Sus scrofa: one gene and its partners. The protein of the gene in region 3 purifies or fractionates together with the protein of the main gene of each other region. This does not show direct contact. Links are inferred from orthologs where the notes say so. Each region holds a gene or a part of one and is shown on either strand. Other genes may lie near its edges.

Region 1 (3,517 bases), on a different chromosome or scaffold from region 3:
ACCTGCAACCTCATGGTTCCTAGTCGATTTGTTTCTGCTGCACCATGACAAGAACTCTGACACTATCAGACGTTTTGTATGAAATTCTGCACAATAAAACTTTGAGGGGAAAAGAAAATAGCATGAAAAGAAATAAAACACACAACAATGTGAATAGTTAACACCATTGAACTGTACAATAAAAACAATTTAGGGGATAACTTTTGTATTTTTTTTTAACTACAATAATTAGAAGTAAATAAACAAGTTTGAAGTAAATAAACAAATTACAGGAGTTCCCATTGTGGCACAGTGGAAATGAATGAATCAACTAGGAACCATGAGGTTGTGGGTTTGATCCCTGGCCTTGCTCAGTGGGTTAAGGATTCAGTGTTGCCGTGGGCTGTGGTGTAGGTCACAGACGCTGCTTGCATCTGTCATTGCTATGGCTATGGTATAGGCCGATTAGACCCCTAGCCTGGGAACCTCCATATGCCTCAGGTGCAGCCCTAAAAAAAAACAAAAAACAAAAAACAAAATTACACGTTCCTGAGCTCTAGTCCATGAAATTAGAATCTGCTTGAGACATAACCAGTGGGGTGATGCCCAGTATTAACACCTTTTTTCAAAGGCTTCCGGGTGATTAGAGGCCCTGCCAAGTTTGGGAAGCCTGCTGTAAAGCTCCTGGAAGGTGACCAGCATGGCCAGGCCTTGTTCGCCACTCCCTGGCCCATGCATCCCGTACACACTCACCTTAGCAGGTCATGTTTTTTGGTGCGGTTGTGGGCACTGAGTGCCTTCAGCTCAGCCTGCCGTTTGCGCAGCTCTGCAAGAACCTCATCCTCTGAATCCTCCGCGGGGCGGTCCTCAGACTCCAGTAGGCCCTGGGCAATCAGCTCCTCCTTGATGCGGCTCTCCAGGGACTTTGTATGTGGCACACTGCAGGGAAGGCAGTGCTCAGCACAAGAGCCAGCTTGGAGGGGGAAGCCCTCAGAGACGCCCAAGGTTAGGACACCCTTCTTTCTCTTGGGCATCCCCTCTATATCTATCCAGACATAAAAATGTAGACACAGGGAGTTCCCGTTGTGGCGCAGTGGTTAACGAATCCGACTAGGAACCATGAGGTTGTGGGTTCGATTCCTGCCCTTGTTCAGTGGGTTAACGATCTGGCGTTGCTGTGAGCTGTGGTGTAGGTTGCAAACGCGGCTTGGATCCTGCGTTGCTGTGGCTCTGGCGTAGGCTGGCAGCTACAGTTCCGATTAGACCCCTAGCCTGGGAACCTCCATATGCCTCGGGAGCGGCCCAAGAAATGGCAAAAAGACAAAAAGACAAAAAAAAAAAAAAAAAAAAGTAGACACAGAGGAGTTCCCATTGTGGCTCAGCAGGTTAAGAACCTGACATAGTCTCCATGAGGATGTGGGTTTGATACCTGGCCTTGCTCAGTGGGTTAAGGATCCAGCCTTGCTGCAAGGGGTGGTGTAGGTCACAGAGGCAGCTCAGATCTGGCATTGCTGTGGCTGTGGTGTAGACCAATAGCCACAGATCTGATTCACCCCTAGCCCAGGAACTTCCATATGCTGCAAGTGCAGCTGTTAAAAAAAAAGAGAGAGACAGACAGACACACCTGGTCCTGTTTCAAACACGAGCAACAGGTATCGACGTTATGTAATATAAAATACAGAAATAACTATAATGCCAACAACCCAGAAAGAACTAGTGTTATTTTGTTATCTTGTTAGTATTACATATATTACTATTATATTACTATATGTTAATATGTTATATTTACAAAATATCTCCATTTATATAGTTATGTAAATATTATACATATTCCAAATTTTGTTACATAACTGTTCCCATGTTTATTACATATTACTTTAGGTCCCCCCCACAGGTACACACATTTAAATAATTTTTTTTTTTGTCTTTTGAGGGCTATACCTGTGGCATATGGAGGTTCCCAGGCTAGGGGTCCAATTGAAGCTATAGCTGCTGGCCAATGCCACAGCCACACAGGATCCAAGATGCGTCTGTGACTTACACCACAGCTCACAGCAACTCTGGGTCCTTAACCCACTGAGCAAGGCCAGGAATCGAACCCACGTCCTCATGGATACTAGTTGGGCTCATTAACCACTAAGTCACGCTGGGAACTCCTAAATCTATCTGAAGTAAAAATAGGATCATATTGGAGTTCCTCTGGTGGCGCAGTGGGCTAAGGATCTGGCACTGTCACTGCTGTGGCTCAGGTGGCAGGTGTGGTGAAGGTTTGCTCCCTGGCCCCAGGACTTCTGCATGCCCCATTTGCAGCCAAAAAAAAAAAAAGGAACTGCATTGCCTGTACCTTGCTAAAACTGACATTTTCCATTTATCATTCTATTGTTTATATCTTTTCATGTCAATTAACTGTATTTCTCTGATATGATTAGTAGCTACAAGCTACTTCATTGTGTAGAATTACTCCTCTTCAGTTGGACATTTAGGTTGTTTACAGTAAGAACAGTGCTATGATAAAAACTCTGTCCTAAGTCTGTGCTTGCAGAACTGCTGGGCCAGCATGCATGTCAGACTTTTATTGGGCTTTATCAAAATGTCCTCAGCCTCTCTATTAATGAAGACCACATCATGCTGAGATGGATGGAAGTCAACAGAAGCAGAGACGAGACTGTGGTGTATGGACAGGACGTCACTCACCTGAAGGGCTTGTTCTGATTTCGGGGAGAGGTGCTTGCCCCATCAGCCCCCGATTCTTTCCCAGACATGTCAGGAATAGGAGAGTCCTCCATAGGGGAAATAATATTTTCCTAGAAGAGCATAGAAATGGATGGAGAAAGAGCCGTAGTATTATCACCTTCCTGCTCCCCTCCAATCTACATGGACAGTCTTCACAGACCAGAAATAGCCTTTTCTCTTTCCTATCCAATCCTCTCTGAAAAGCCTTCCCAAACAGACTCCAAAAAGCTTTGATCATTTTAAAAACACTTGTTTTTTGTATTGAATCTGAAAGAAGGGAGCATAAAAGATGATGATAACAGCAATAGCAATGAGAAGAGCTAAGGTTTGTTAGGCATTTGCAATGCATGAGGTGCTCTGCTAGGCATGCATCAGGTGTCCAAAAGCCATCCTCGCCCTTCTACAGTAGCTGGCCTTACGGCTGCCCAGATAACCACACTTCCCAGCCTCCCTTGCTATCAAGGGTAGCCATGCGATTCTCCATAGTGATCAGAAGAGATAAGAGCCTCAACCGGCCATGACCTTCACACACTCCTCCTTGGTCTTTTCCTGAAGGCCTGAAGTGGCAGTTGGACTTGGAGTGACCTTGTGCAGAGTGCATGTTTAAGATGGCAAAGCCACCATAACTGGAATCCCTGTCTGATGATGTGGCACAGAGATCTCCCTCCTCCTCAACCAACATGAAACATGTGCCCAGCATCTTATGTGGGAGAGGGAGACACTACTGTGTTTGAGCCAGAGAGGAAACTGAGGCTCAGTGAGGTGAGGAAATGTGCCTAAGGGCAGCTAGTGGGCATAAAGAAAG
Region 2 (2,673 bases), on a different chromosome or scaffold from region 3:
CCCTTTCCTGGCACCCAACAACGAAAGGACAGCTCCTGCTGCCAAGGAGGCCCCTGGGGACTGAGGGGAAAGGGCTGCCCCTGTGAGGGGCAGGGAAGGCGGCGGCAGTTCTGGACGCCCACCTCAGCAGACAGCGCGCTGTGCCTGCCCACCCCTGGATGGGGGCGTTTGATAGGATTCTGCACAGACAGGACACGCCCAGCCCTGCCCCTCGGCTCCAAGCACCGGACCCATTCACATTGCTGAGGGCAGCTGGGGGAGGCCCCCTCCAGGCTCGGCTTCCAACCCACAGCCTCCCGGGCAGCCACGATGCTCCTCGGCAGGGCTTAGTCCAGTTCCTGGGGTGGGGGGGCGGCAGTGCCCTGGCACAGTGCCCAGGTCAGGCCCCTGGCCTAGCTGGACATCCAGTAACTCACAGAATAAATAGGAAAACCGCCTCCCCACCAGACTTATGTCCAAGGCATAACATGTCCAGGTCTGAGTCCTACATGCCGAGGGGTCGTGCTCCACCGCAGAGGACCCTGACACCCCCCAGGGGTGCAGAATTGGATCCTCCACCTGCCTGGCCTACCAAGCTTCCCAAGCCCAAACCCCCAGCAGCCGTCCGTTTGCCAGGCTGTGCCACCTGGGTGGGGGTCGGGAGAGCGGGCTCTGCTCAGCCAAAGGCTATCCCTTGCACCCGAGTCAGTTGATGTCATCATAGATGCTGGGCGTCGGGGGTGCCGGCGGCTTTGGCTTTTTCTTCTTGTTGGAGCCCAGGCTGGAGGCAGTCCCTACCAGGCTCAGATGGGATTTCTTTTTCTTGGTTTTCCGTGACTCAGAGCTGTTGGTACCTGAAAAGAAAGAGGCACGAGGGATGGAGAGGGCTGGGGCAGGGGAACGCAAGGTGCCCCCACTCCCTCGCTCCGAGCAGACAGGCCCCGGGGCCCGGCTGCATCACCTACCTAGACCCCATCCCTGATTCTCGCTCGTCTTGGAGGAGCCTGAATCGGAGGGTGAGAGATCAGAGGAGCCGTCCCACTGAAGCCGGCTGATCAGGGCTTGGCTGTCAGTCATGTCAAAGCTGTCATTATCCAGGGAACTCTCGACCTCTGGAAGGGCACTGGGAAGAGGAGAGGCCGGAGGAGGGCTTTAGGGATCCCAGCCATCCTCCTCGCCTTCTTCCACAACCACCGCCCTTCCTCGAGGGTCACTTACGCTGAGGGGCCAAGGAAATAAATCCGCACGGCTCGCCGCTGCTCATCTGTGTGCTGGGGGCAGCGCAGGGACCTGGTAGGGAGCAAATGATCAGCCCCGGATGAGCCAGGAAGGGTCAGAGGACCCCAGAGAGGCCCCTCCCGTCTCTGCTGAGGACACGGGGAGGGGATGAACAAGAGCCCCCAGGTGGTGGCCTAAGGCCTGACCGGCAGAGGACAGGGGAGGGCAGAGTCCCACTGCTCAGTTCCGGGGTCGGGGGGCACTCCCAGCCCGGGCCCAGGGTGAGTGTGCAGAAGGGCCTCCTGGCCCCTTGAGAGGTTCTGAGCTCACCTTGTGCACATCTTCTTGGTGTGTTCAGAAATCACCCCGCATTGCTGCAAGAGGAACAGAAGCTGAAAGGAGGAGCGGAGGGAAGCCTCCTCCAGACACTAGACATTCTCTTCTGTACAAGTGCCGGACTGCACGAGCAGAGGGGGCCCCAGGGTGTCCACGGCAGAGGGTCCCAGACCGCCACTGGCCAGGAAACCTAGTTCTAGAGACAGAACCGCCCAGCCCTCTCTGCTGCCACCAGCCTCTCCCAGAGCCTCAACCACCGTTTGTGACTGACTCGGGCCCTCACCGTGGTGAGCAGGCTACGCAGCTCCTCCGGCCCCAGGGTCTCGTAGCTGATCCCAGTTGAGTTGTTATACTGGGTGAGAACCAGAGGTACAGGTTAGAGATGGGGCAGCCAAGGGCGGGGGCAGAGGTGGGAGTGGGGAATCAGCACCCCTCCCCGCCCCCAGTGAGGCCTGAAGCCTGCCTGGCGGTCTCCCCGTGATGCCTTTCACCCCGCGGGCATTGGGTAAGGGGCTGGGGCCCACAGAGAACACAAATACACAAGAGCTAAGCACCCTGTCCAGAGCTCCTGGCCGCCAGTGTTCTGATCCCCACATGGGCAAAGCCCATCCAACCCGCAGCAAGGAAAATGAGAGGAAACCTCAGGGGCAGCCCCTACTCACCTTAAAAGGATCCGAATTGCTAAGTTCCCCTGAAGAAGAAAAAAGAAGGGGAAGGGTGTTTGATGCAGAGGTACAGACAGAGAACCCTGAAAATAACCAGAAAGGAAGTGGGGGTGACAGAAGGATCACAGGCCCTCCCTCGATACCCCTGCCCACCCCCCAACCCCGTGTCCCCACCTCCGCCCTCCGGCCACGAGTCCCAGAAGACACAGCTAGAATCACTCCCGCTGTTCCAGCCCCACTCACCATTTTTGTGTTTTAAAGACTTGGATCTTCGAGGGGAATTGGGGTTCTGGAATGGGAGATACCATAGCTTTGGGGAAAGGGTAACGATAAGGGGGAGCCGAGAACCCAGGGAAGGAAAAAAGATTTGACAAAGAAACATCCTCAAATTCCTACTCTTCCCCACCAGTAAGAGGCCCGTCTACCCACATGCCCCCCCTCCACCTTCCCCAAGGCCTCTGCTGCCCTCCTGCCC
Region 3 (4,151 bases):
TGCAGGTTTGATCCCTGGCCCTGCTTAGTGGGTTAAGGATCCGACGTCGCCTCGAGTTGTGGTGTAGGTCGAAGACGTGGCTCAGAATCACATTGCTACAGCTCCAATTCCACCCCTAGCCTAGGAACCTCCATATGCCTACGGTACAGCCCTAAAAAGACCAAAAAAAAAAAAAAAAAAAGCAAATCTAACACTGAAGTGTCCCTTACCTTCTCGAGCTAAATCACCCACATTAATGTATTTCAATCCTGATCTTGATGCAAGTTCTTTGCCGAGTGTGGTTTTTCCAACCCCTGGTGTACCTGTAAGACAAACCACAGAAAAAAACTGTTTATAAAATATTTATTAGGTTTTAGCCAATGATCTGTCCTTAAGGTCCTTAATAACTGAAAAGTTTCCTAATTAGCAATCCTAATTACCATAACCTAATTCACACCATAACCTAATGAAAACCACCCAAAGCCTGCTGGACATGACAATCCTACTCGGTGTATCAGATTCTACCAGGAGTGAGGCTTGGGAGAATCTGATGACAATCAAAGGCTGTCTGCTACCACCATGGAAATCCCCAGATTGAAACTAGTTATCTCAAATAAATCACCATGAGTTATTTGCTTTAATTTTATTTTTATTTATTTTTGTCTTTCTGCCTTTTCTAGGGCCGCACTCGCGGCATATGGAGGTTCCCAGGCTAGGGGTCCAATCCGAGCGATAGCCGCCAGCCTACGCCACAGCCACAGCAACATGGGATCCGAGCCGCGTCTGCGACCTACACCACAACTCACGGCAATGCCAGATCCCCCACCCACTGAGCAAGGCCAGGGATGGTTCCTCATGGTTCCTAGTCGGATTCGTTAACCACTGAGCCACGACGGGAACTCCTATTTGCTTTAATTTTAAAAAATTAAATTGTTCATGGGAAAAAGTTCAGCAGTATGAAAGACAAATCTCATTTCCAATATGGACCCTCTGTACTCTTCCCTAGAGGCAACCAGTATAAACTGGTTTCTTTTATTTCTCTCTCTAAAGAATCATATGTATGTTTTTGTAAATATGTCCATATATATATATATATATGATAGCATACTACATATGTGTACATATCTTCACACTGTGTGTATATATACGTGCACACACCAAATACTCCCTTTTATGTAAGTGGCAATACTATATATTGTTTTTCAACTTCCCTTTTTTTCTTTCTGGCCATGACTATAGGCCAGGGATTGAACTTGCACCACAGCATCAAGTCAAGCCACAGCAGTGAATAAGCCAGATCCTTAACCCACTGTGCCACCACAGGAACTTCTATCTTATTTTTTATATCTACTGTATTTCAAAATATATAATCAAACTCATAACTTTCAGCTGCTCAGGTTTAATACCACTGAAATTATAAAATTTAATCATTTTAATTGAAGATAACAGGAATTGGAGTTCCCATCATGGCTCTGTAGTAAGAAACTCAACTCGCATCCATGAGGATTTGGTATGGTTCCCTGGTCTTGCTCGGTTAGTTTAAGATCCAGCATTGCCATGAGCTGTGATGTAGGTCACAGATGCAGCTTGAATCTGGTGTGGCTGTGGCCAGCAGCTGCAGCTCCAATATGACCCCTAGCCGGGGAACTTCCATATGCTGCAGGTATGGCCCTAAAAAGCAAAAAAAGGTAATAGGAATAGATCTTCATGTAAGGACAGTAACAATCCACTATAATATACTAAATTTGAACTCTGAATTCACCATGTTTTCAATAAAACACATTTAGATTTTTGACGATATGGTTTAATATTAAAAAAAACCCAAGACACTCACTATCTGACCCAAACAAATCAATGTTGTACAATCTTCCCCTTAAGAAATCGTCATGGCTAACCATTAATTTGTTGAGGTTAATCTGCAGCTTTCAGAAACAGAAGGATTTGTGTGCTGCCAATAAATAACCGCCTCAATTTTTATAATGCAACAGCATCTATCTACATCCATTAGATTTTTTTCATGAATGCCCTAGGATGCCATTAACTGCTACAATCTAATAAACATTTTCAGAGTTAAACAACCAAAAATAATATTCTTTATAAGATCGGTATGAAGCATTTTACTATCCCTCATATATAACAAACGCCCTCAGTATAGATCCGAAGACCCAGATGAACCCCCACAGTGAATCTTAGAACACCTCTACACGAGAAACGACCAGAGATACTCAGTAGATGCCTTTCCTTCTTAAAATAATGAAAAAAAAAAAGCCTCTGAAGCTAACTTCACAAGTGTATATAGCAAATTAATCACCCCACACCGCAAACACCCGAATCCTTTCATCGAAATCTGCCAGAAAGAAAGGAAAAGCGAGAAACGGGCCCCGGAGGCCTAAAGCATCCACCATTAAGAGATCTACCAAAGGCCAGACACTGTCTTACATTATATTGCTAAAAGCCTGAAGACAACTCTGCCAAGAGGCAACGGCCATTTTGCAAACAAAAAGGTGATTGAGAAAGCTTAGGCAGCTTGCCAAAAAAGGAAGCTAGATACATCTACCTCTCTCCGCCTCACCGAAGGGCCAACCTCTGGCCAAACAAAATTGACGTTCGCGGTCCCCTCCCCCCGCCTCCCGCAACCGTCGCGAGGGCCGGTCACGAGGCCCCAACAAGTGCCACGCTAGGCGACCCTTGTCGACCCCCGACACAGAACACTGAACGCCCCCCCCCCCCCACTTCGGGCGTCCCAGGCTGGCCCCACCGTCCAGCACCACCCCCACCGCGCGCCCTGACCGGTGAGCAGGATGTTCGGAAGCAACATGGTCCTCACCGCGCTGGCTCCGGACGCTTCTGCACACGCGCCTTACACGCGACAGGGAGGGGCCGGAAGGGGCGAGGAGCGGCAAATGCCTGTGGCGCGGAGGTACGCGAGACCTTGAGTGGCGCTCGCGACCCACATCTGCCGCCTTGCCACTGACCATTGGTTACCTAGGCTTCTATAACACGCTTCCATTGCAGGGTCCAAAGTACCAAAACAGGTCATGTCCGCGCTTCGGGTCAGGCAGTGCGCTGGATGCCTAAGACATTCGCTCTTTTAGCGGCCCCGCCCTTCGGGCCGTGTCGCCGAAGCGCCGATGCTCTGAAAAGTCCCCGGGAGGCGGGACCTCCAAGAGGCTCTGCGCTGAGCCCGGTTAGGGCTGAGTGGCTTTGCTTACACCTGGAGCCAACCGTGGGCTCCACCACTGTTCTGCGCCCACGAGGGGATGCTGCTACCAGAAGGTAACGCTTCCGTGGCTGTGGCTGCGGTGTATTTATGTCCTAGAGACCTTAAGTCCAGGTCTGCCTTCACGCCTTCTCAGACTCTTGTAGCCCCTCCTCCTGACCTGCCCATCCCATCTGTGGATTAGAGGGGTGAGCGTTCAGAGCTCTGGCCTGGAGCTGTGGCAGACCAGCTCATCTCCGCTTTGCCCTGACTAGTAGTATTACGTTGGATGATTGTATGAGCTTAGTATCCCCTGTGCAGTGTATAGAGTGGTGGTGGGTCTGCTAGAAATACTCTTCGAGGTCTTTTCTCCCTCTGATGTCTCATTTCGGGAACCTGGTATCGTCAAAGACAGTTGCCTGCTTTTTAAAGGAGGTAACTGTCAGTCTTTTTTTCAAAGGGTTAGAGTCTAGATGGTATCAAGTGTATGACTTTTATTTTGACCTGCCAACGGTATTTTCTGAAATAGTTGTTTTTTCCATCTTAAATACGTTTTTGACGCTGTAAAGCAAAAACCCCTCTAGACATGAACAGCTTATCTATATGTGTGTGTACGATTTGTTTTCTAGTGTTTAAAAGTATTTACACATTATAAATTACACGTGCTTCCAAACTATAAAAAAGCTCAGTTTACAGGTTTGTAGACGCTAAAAAAACTTTCTTTCTGGCTAACTTAAAATTGGTGAGTTCACTGGTTTGCCTAAACATTGAAGAATTATGACAGTTGGAAAACAGTGTTGCCCAAAAATGTTGTGATAACGTTTAAATAAGGACGGTTATAGAAAAAGTTTACAGTAGGAGATAAAAATCTTTGTTTAAAGTGAGTGATATGTCTGAATTAATTTTTGGTGTCTTTTTAAAAAAATCCTCTTTGAATTTTTGAAATTTATAATTTGAAATGAGGGAAATTTTA

Evidence for each region. Proteins that work in one complex are often made in the same cells at the same time.
Region 1: the proteins of TAF9 (region 3) and TADA3 purify together in Homo sapiens (affinity purification with mass spectrometry; 3 studies listed by BioGRID, with this or other methods). This does not show direct contact. The link is inferred for Sus scrofa from reciprocal best matches to the Homo sapiens genes TAF9 and TADA3.
Region 2: the proteins of TAF9 (region 3) and ATXN7L3 purify together in Homo sapiens (affinity purification with mass spectrometry; 6 studies listed by BioGRID and IntAct, counting the BioPlex papers as one, with this or other methods). This does not show direct contact. The link is inferred for Sus scrofa from reciprocal best matches to the Homo sapiens genes TAF9 and ATXN7L3.

What each region holds. Positions count from the first base shown.
Region 1 is NC_010455.5:66,069,968-66,073,484, forward strand, and holds part of TADA3 (transcriptional adapter 3), read right to left. Parts: intron 2,784-3,517; coding exon 2,674-2,783; intron 919-2,673; coding exon 733-918; intron 1-732. UniProt on the Homo sapiens protein: Functions as a component of the PCAF complex. The PCAF complex is capable of efficiently acetylating histones in a nucleosomal context. The PCAF complex could be considered as the human version of the yeast SAGA complex.
Region 2 is NC_010454.4:19,015,312-19,017,984, reverse strand, and holds part of ATXN7L3 (ataxin-7-like protein 3), read right to left. Parts: intron 2,509-2,673; coding exon 2,442-2,508; intron 2,282-2,441; coding exon 2,196-2,281; intron 1,886-2,195; coding exon 1,817-1,885; intron 1,572-1,816; coding exon 1,528-1,571; intron 1,270-1,527; coding exon 1,198-1,269; intron 1,103-1,197; coding exon 945-1,102; intron 834-944; coding exon 685-833; 3' UTR 1-684. UniProt on the Homo sapiens protein: Component of the transcription regulatory histone acetylation (HAT) complex SAGA, a multiprotein complex that activates transcription by remodeling chromatin and mediating histone acetylation and deubiquitination.
Region 3 is NC_010458.4:47,496,682-47,500,832, forward strand, and holds the start of TAF9 (transcription initiation factor TFIID subunit 9), read right to left. Parts: upstream 2,807-4,151; 5' UTR 2,798-2,806; coding exon of another isoform or gene 2,770-2,797; intron 2,767-2,769; exon of another isoform or gene 2,419-2,766; intron 303-2,418; coding exon of another isoform or gene 210-302; intron 1-209. Other genes in the region: AK6 (adenylate kinase isoenzyme 6), read right to left, coding at 210-302, 2,807-2,957; cell cycle checkpoint protein RAD17, read left to right, coding at 3,240-3,255. UniProt on the Homo sapiens protein: The TFIID basal transcription factor complex plays a major role in the initiation of RNA polymerase II (Pol II)-dependent transcription.